Linked DNA regions of Diceros bicornis minor. The protein of the gene in region 1 interacts with the protein of each later gene in a pairwise test. Links are inferred from orthologs where the notes say so. Each region holds a gene or a part of one and is shown on either strand. Other genes may lie near its edges.

What was found.
Region 2: the proteins of PPP3CA (region 1) and AKAP5 interact in binary tests that used the Homo sapiens proteins (3 or more experiments, as listed by UniProt). The link is inferred for Diceros bicornis minor from reciprocal best matches to the Homo sapiens genes PPP3CA and AKAP5.

What each region holds. Positions count from the first base shown.
Region 1 is NC_080747.1:83,915,180-83,918,924, forward strand, and holds the start of PPP3CA (protein phosphatase 3 catalytic subunit alpha), read right to left. Parts: upstream 2,413-3,745; 5' UTR 1,863-2,412; coding exon 1,805-1,862; intron 1-1,804. UniProt on the Homo sapiens protein: Calcium-dependent, calmodulin-stimulated protein phosphatase which plays an essential role in the transduction of intracellular Ca(2+)-mediated signals. Many of the substrates contain a PxIxIT motif and/or a LxVP motif.
Region 2 is NC_080763.1:13,546,522-13,550,266, reverse strand, and holds the start of AKAP5 (A-kinase anchor protein 5), read right to left. Parts: upstream 2,339-3,745; 5' UTR 2,296-2,338; intron 1-2,295. UniProt on the Homo sapiens protein: Multivalent scaffold protein that anchors the cAMP-dependent protein kinase/PKA to cytoskeletal and/or organelle-associated proteins, targeting the signal carried by cAMP to specific intracellular effectors.

The DNA.
Region 1 (3,745 bases):
TATGAGTGATTACTGCTGTCATTTGAATTGTAAGCTTTACATTAGTTGTTTTGAAAATAGGTGATCTTAACATACAGACAGGGGTTACACCTAACCATCACACATTAGATAGATATTTGTTATTCTCTGATACTTCAGCAGTCTTAATTTTTGAAAATGTCAACAGAAGCCCTTAATGCAAAACATAGTTTTTCTGAATGACTCTGAATTCACTGTTTACATGAGGATCCATGCCTGCAGAAAGAATAGTTGTGCATCTGTAGTCCTATTTTGAGTCATTTTTGCAGAGATATTTCTTCCTTATTTTCATGGATCTATGAATACTGCACTGAAGCAGGAATGATTCTAATACAACCAAAACAAAAGAAGATATTTTATTCTTTCTTACAAAAGAGAACACAATTTCCCCCATCATCACGAACACACACAAGACACACACACACACGCATTACTTTAAAAACTGAGCAGACCTGACTGGAACCGATGAACAGTTCTGAGCCCCAGAAGAAGATTCCTGGTCTTTAGGCTGCGGGGTTACTTCACCTAAGTGCTCATGGTGCAAATGACTTTATTGCCTTGCACTCTACTTGCAATCTCTGGCCACATCAGATACTATCTCTGTTCTACATACAATAAACACATACACACACTCTCTCTCTCCCTCTACACCAGCCAGCGCTGTTTCCAATTTCAGAGGCCCGCTCCGCACCTAGCCCATGTCCATCCCTGCTTTGCTCCGCGTCCTGACCCCAGGAATGAGGGACGCTACTTAATCCTGGCTGATCTGCTCTGTTGTCTCATCCTTCCAGGATTCGTAGGATGCTTCCTCCCCCACCCAACAGGGAAGACGAGACGACTGCGGAGTCCCCCGTGCAAGGGAGCAGGAGACCACTGCCTGTCCCCTTCCTCACCCCAGGCCCCCGGCTTCTCTTCGCCAGAAATCCCAGAGCCATCTCTGCCAAGGGTATGTGATCCGGGGCAGGGGAGAAGAGCCAGTATTAGGAATCAAACAGCCCGTTAACGAGGGGGTGCCGGAGGCCCGGAGGAGGCGAGGCTACCGCCGGGAGGCGTGCTCCAGCCGGGACCATTCAAGAGCGTGACAGGCCGGCGGGGGAGGCGGCGGGGGGAACTGCCTCCCGCGTCGGTCTCAGGCCTGCGGGGGAATCCCGGGGCGGGGGCGGCGGGCCCCGGGAGGCTCCCCGCCCCGCGCGCCCCCTCGCCGCCCCGGCCCCGCGCCCCAGGGAGCGCCCGGCTCCCCCACGCTCTCCCGCCCTCTCGCGAGTCCTGTGCAGGCCCTTCCAGGGCAGGGCGAGGCGGAGGGGGCGCCGCCGAGGGAACTGCTGCAATGGGGCGCCGAGAGAACCGTGCCCGAGCGAGGCAGTCGGTGGAAAGCCACGGCCACATAAAAATGCCACATTAATTTTTTTTCAGCCATAAATCACCCCTCCCTCTGCAAAAGAAAACCATAAACCCGATCCCATGCAAGGCTGCGAGCAGCCACCCACTTCCTATTTCTGTCACAGCAGCTACACCCTGCCAGCAACCACCCCCCGGGCGCCCCCTCCCGCCACCGCCACCCCCGCCGCCGCCTGCCCGCGGCTCAGCCATTTGCCAACTGACGCCCCCGTCAATAAAAATGCCCCAAGTGGGCAGGGTGGGAGGCGTGGGGGAAGGGGTTTCAGGGTTGCACAATATCCTAGAAGGTCGGCGGCTGGAGCAGGAGAACCCGGGCGGGGGAGGGGCAGCGAGCCGCCCAGGAGCCTGCGGCACCCGGTGCACCCGGCGGCCGCGGCGCGCCGCTTACCTTTCACCACCCTGTCGGTCGTCGACAACTTGGGATCAATTGCCTTGGGCTCGGACATCTCCAGCCGCCGGGGGACAGCGACGCGCTGCTCGTCCGTCCGACTGCACACCCCGACCGGACCGGCGGGACACTCAACGCCGCCGCCGCCGCGCTGCACGCCGCTCGGCCGGAGCTCCGCGCTCTGAGCTGGCTTCAAAGTTGCTGCCTCTCCGCGCGTCCCCGCGCCGCCGCCGCCTCACTCCTCCTCCGCCGCCAGCCCCGCCGACTCCGCTCCGGGCTGCGCGTGTGTGCTGGTTATTTATTTATTTTCTGAGCACGCCTCTCGGTTCTTCTTTTATTCTTGGGGGAAGGGGGATGGGGAGGAGAAGCGCACACCGAGCACCCACCCTGGCACGGAGACCGGGCACCGCGGAATGGAGCCCCACGCGCGCACACTGCCGGGATTAAAGCCGATCACATGGGGAGGGCCGGGGGCGAGGGAGGAGAGGCAGGGCCGCGATGTCAGTGCCACCAGCCGCGCCTCGGCGTCCCCGGCGGCGGAAAGGCGGCCGCCGCTGCTGCTGCCGCTGCTTCCCCACACCCAGCGCCGCTGTCCGCGCCGCCGGAGACGTCCCGCGCCGCGCTCGCCGCGCTCCCCTCTGCCTCCCGCGCTCCTGCACTCACAGGCACCGCCGCGGAGCTCGGCAGACAGTCCCGGCGCAGCCTGCCCTCCGCCGCCGCCGCCACCGCCGCCGCCGCCTCGCCCGCCTCCGCCTCCTCCCCTTCCTCCCGCCGGCCCCCGCCTCCCGCGCCCGGGCCCCTGCCTCCTCCCCGCGGAGCCCACCCGCTCCCGCCCCACGTCGGAGCGGCGGGCGCTGGTTGGCTGGCGCGCGCGTCACTCACTGCCTCCCGCGCGCCCCGCCCCTCCTCCTGGCCGCCCCGCCCCCGCTGTTTTCTCCGAGGCCAGGCCGGCGGGCCTGCGCCTCCGCCGCCCGGTCCCCGCTCAGGTGCTCGTGTGGCTGCGAGGCCGGGATTAGGGGAGCAGCGTGGGCAGGGGGTCGCGGCTGGGAGGAGAGGGGCTCCACCCCAGCCCGCTGGGCTGCCGCCCCTGCGCCCCGCACGCTCCCCGAGCCGCCGTGGCCACGGTGCCAGGTCGGCCAGGCTAAGCCGCAGTGTGAGCAGCCGAGTGCCGAGGGTGTCCCGGCTGTGTGCGTGGCCCGCGAGAGGGCAAGAAGGGAGGAGGCAGGGAGAGGGGAAGAGGTGGGGGTGCGGCGGCCGGAGAGGGCGGAGGAAGGAAGAGGGCCGAGCTGGCGGCCGCGCAGCTGCTGTCGCTGCCGCAGCTGTCCGGGGGAATCGCCGCCTCGGCGGCGAACGAACAGCTCACCTTGGCGCCGGGCCCCGCCTGCCATGGGTGTACAGCGGTTTTTGCTTTGGGGGCTTTTTTGTGGGCGGTGTGGTGGTGGTTAATGTTTCCCACCCGTGCACCCACACCTTCCGGGTAGGGGGCCGCCCCCGAGCGCCGCGGGCCGGGGACGTGGCGGGTGTGCGGGGCGCTGTGGGACGCGGAAGCAGGCTATCCAGGGAGGATGGGGACGGGCATCCACGCGACCCCGGGCAACTCTGAGTCACCCGGGACAGCCCTGGCAGTGTCTAGGGAGAAATGAGAGGCGGGAGAAACACGGGAGACCGGCGCCTTTTCCCTGTTCACGCGCGCGCGCTGCCAGTGGTCGGGACTGGTGACACCACATCTCCCTTCCCCACTGCTTCCAATCACCCGACACCCACTTGGTGCTCCCGATGCCTGCAGGACCTTGAAGCCCAAGGTGGATCCTCACTCCCTCCCGTTGGAAGGAGACCAAAAGAGAGAATTCGAGGCGCGGGAGGCCAGAGAGTGACAGTGGCCCAAATCTCCTTTCTGACCTGCCTGCCGCGCTGCAGAATGAGGAGCGGGTCTCCCTCTCC
Region 2 (3,745 bases), on another chromosome or scaffold:
TTTCAATTCTTTAGTTGGGCTGTCTCTATAAATTGTTCATGACTCTGAATTGCAAGTTAGCAAACAAAAACCAAAAACAGTGAAGGGAGGGTGATAAGCAAGCTAGTGTAATTTTTATTACATGCAATAACGAATTCTGAAGCTGCAAAGGATCTTAGAGATTATTCAAGTCCAGCCCGATGGAGAAACTGAGCTCCAGAGTGGGCAGTTGGCCTGCCAAAAGCCAGTTAGATAAGGTCACAGCCAGAGTTAGAACTGAAGACTCTGACTCTCCAGTGTTCTTCCCATTATACCATAAGGCTTCTGTTCTAAAAACGTATGTTCCGCCAACGAGGTGCTACTTTTCATACATACTCTTGGGAAATTTAACATTACTGTCATTTTCCACTCTTAAATTTACTTGTATAATCTTGACATTTTTCCCCCAAGTATCTGCTGTTCAGACATTCTCCACAATGAGCACAGAGTTGCAGGTCAGTCAGAGTGAATGATAATAATAGCTGACATTTATTGAGCAACTCCTGTGTATTAGGAAGCGCTGAGCACTTTTACATACATCTCTATTCCTCCCCACAACACTCCAAAGTAAGTAGGTGGTGGTATCACCATCAACAGATGAAGACACTGGGGCTTGAGAGGTTAAGCAATGTGCCTGAGATTACACAGCTAGTAGGTAACAGAGCTCAGATTCAACCCAAGATTGCCTGTTTCTGAAGCCTGTGCTCTGAAACTGGGCTTTAAGAGTTTCGTCAGAAAAATGAATTGCTTGGCGATGCTAATCTGCACTAGATTCACTAGTCAAAAATTTATAAAATTGTTTAACAGCCATTTAACCATAACACAAGCCCATCAACTCATAATTAAACCAAGATTAGACTGAATTCTTGCTATTTGAAAATCGAGCTTTTGAAATTCTTTATATTTTATTTTCTTGGTTCTGGAAGTAATTTGAAAGCCAAATATACATTAATAGGCTATGCAATTGGCAAACTGATTAGTTATATATAAATATACAGGTATATTTTAAAATTAATCCACAGAATGGTATGACGGTACCAATGAACAGAGATATGAAGTGATCATCTACCAAAATTCCTAAGAATTTTAGTTGACGGATGTCCTAAAATAAGCAAAGAGACTCTTTCCTTGTACTGTTTTTATGTAAATCCTTCATTGTTGAAGGTTTATTTCAGTAGCTCTTGATTCTATGAACCACAGAAGGAACTGGAACTCTGAAAATCAGTTTATGATCTAAGTAAATATACCCTTAGGTTGGCTGCTACATACTCCATGCCTCTAACAGAAAGACAAAGTCATCCTAGAACAAGAATGGAGCTAAAATGCGAACATTTTACTGTGTCCCTCCTCATATAATGCTTCCATAAGCACCAGAACCACAGCTGGTTATAGCTCTCTTTGTCTTCTCACCTCTCTTGAGTTCTCAGTGCCTAAGAGTTTTTATTAACCAGAGGATGTAATTAGATCACGTTTAGGAACGTATCATTTGAAACTAACCTGGATTGCCCAAAGACAATAACTGTTTGTGAAGCTCACTTGAATGTCTACCACACTGTAGAAATAAAACAAATATTCAAACAAAAACCTAACTGAAATGGGGAAAATGCAGCCTGTAGACAATAAAACTTTGCAGAATGTTAGACTGCAAACGATTCGTCTTTAACCTGCAGGGATAGTTTTATCGCCTCAGTAATCTTAAACTCCCTGTTATCATTTCCTGAGAGAATCATAAGTCCAATGCCACAGAAAATGCCCCTTCCCTTTTTCCTTGAGCAGAGAAGCACAGAGGCAAAGCGCAACCCAGCGAATCTCTCCCAGAGCCAGATGTGGACGAAGCTTCCTCCTGGAGGAAGGCGTCTCTCCTGGCTCGGTGCGCCTCGTGGCAGGAGCCAGCGCGCAGCATCAAGTACTCAAAACGGAAAGTGCCAGGGGCGTGGAGCAGGTAACCCAGCTTCAATCTATCTGCACAATTATAATGGCCAGGAACCCAAAATCACATTTCCCCCAAAAAAGGGTAAAGAAGGAAAAAGGCTACCGGCAACCCATGCTTCTAGGACGGGCTGTAACCCGAAGAGGGTAGGTGGGCAGAGCTGAGCAGGGTCGCGCTGGCTGAGATGCCTGGACTGACGGCCTTCCCGGTTCTTACCTCGGCCATCTCGGGGGGCCCGGGTTCCCAGTGTCCAGTGGATCTCCCGCCCTCTCCACCGCCCAGGCGGTCAGCGGACCGGACAGTGGCCCGCACCCTCTTCTCCCGCAATCTCCTCGCCCTCCACTTACCGAGGGCGCCGGGGTCCCTGTCCGACCCCGCTGCCGAGGTCGGGGGGGCGCTCGCGGGGCCAGGCGCCCAGGGAGCCGGGAAGTCACGGTCGCAGCCGGAGCAAGGAGCCCTCTGCAGAGGGACCGCAGCCCCGCGGCGCCCCCTCCCCAGAGCGCGGGGACCGACAGGCGGCGGCACCAATGCGCGCGGAGCGGGCGGGCGCGGGGCGGGGCCAGGCCGGGGGCGGAGGGGCGCAGAGGGATTGGAGGCCACCTGCCAGCCGCGTGCCCAGCCGCGCGGGAGCAGACCTTTGCGCCCCTAGCCTGGGCGCGAATCCTGCGGCGCGACCTCATCCGGGCCAGGGCAGGGGACCACCGAGAGAGAGCCGGCAGATGGGGAGGCGACCAGGGTAGTTAGCCTCGCATTTTCTGAGACGCAAAGTAGCACTGCCGTTATAACCCCCCCGCCCCCGAATATTTAAAGACACAGCAGAAAGCACATTTTAAAAGTAGGATTCAAAACCGTGCAGAGTGAAGTCTCGTTTATTTGGAGAGAAAATTAAATATATGAATTGAAACAGAAAAAAACAAAACTTTCCCAGGTGTGCGTTTGGGTGTAATGAGGTTACCATGGTTCATTGCCAAACAGGCTCTCAGAGGCCCGAGACTCAGACCCTTGTCTCCCTAGTCTAGAGGGCAGGTAGCGATGATGCGACCTGTGTGCGGGCGAGGTCAGAAGGGCACAGGAACCCAGCCCCACCCATCTTTTATACCTTATATATTTCCAAAAATAAGTTAAGGCAGCTTACGAGTTACCCGTGTTTCCCTTCAGGATATTCCTAGATGCCTACTTAACCTTGTCCCTCTCAATTGAGCGAGGGTCGCCAACAGGAGATGGCTTTCCTCAAAGGGCACGCGTGACATCTCCTCTCCTGCCTGACTGGTTAGGTCGTATATTTTCATGCATTTTCTGAGTCTTGATCTAAACAAGTTGCTGGCCATAGTGGAAAGCATCACAAGCATTTATCTGTGCACATAAAGCATTACCATATCCCCCAGGAAAGGTGCTGCTGTGATTGCTTAGGGTGACTGTCCTTGGGTCTCCCATTACCTACAAGGGCATTCCTTGGAGCTGCAGCTGTGAGGCCCTGCAAGATGCACAGTTCTTGCCTCCCCCTCTGGCCTCTCCCAGGCACACCACCCAGATGAAGGTGGAGGGAAGGACTACTGAAAAGCAGCTGTACTTCTCTCCTTTCTTCCACAGGATCATGGTCTTTGGGAGCGTAAATCTTGGTTATCCATTTTTGGATGTTTTCCCAGGAATATATTTTACCTTTCTAAGATTCTATAGCTTCCACTGAGACTTATTAAGGAAAGAACTATTAGGACACAATAGCAAAGCTGAATCTAAGTCGTCTGGATTTTAAATTTACCGATAAAATTTAGAGACCAGAGCTGTAAAACAGGAAAA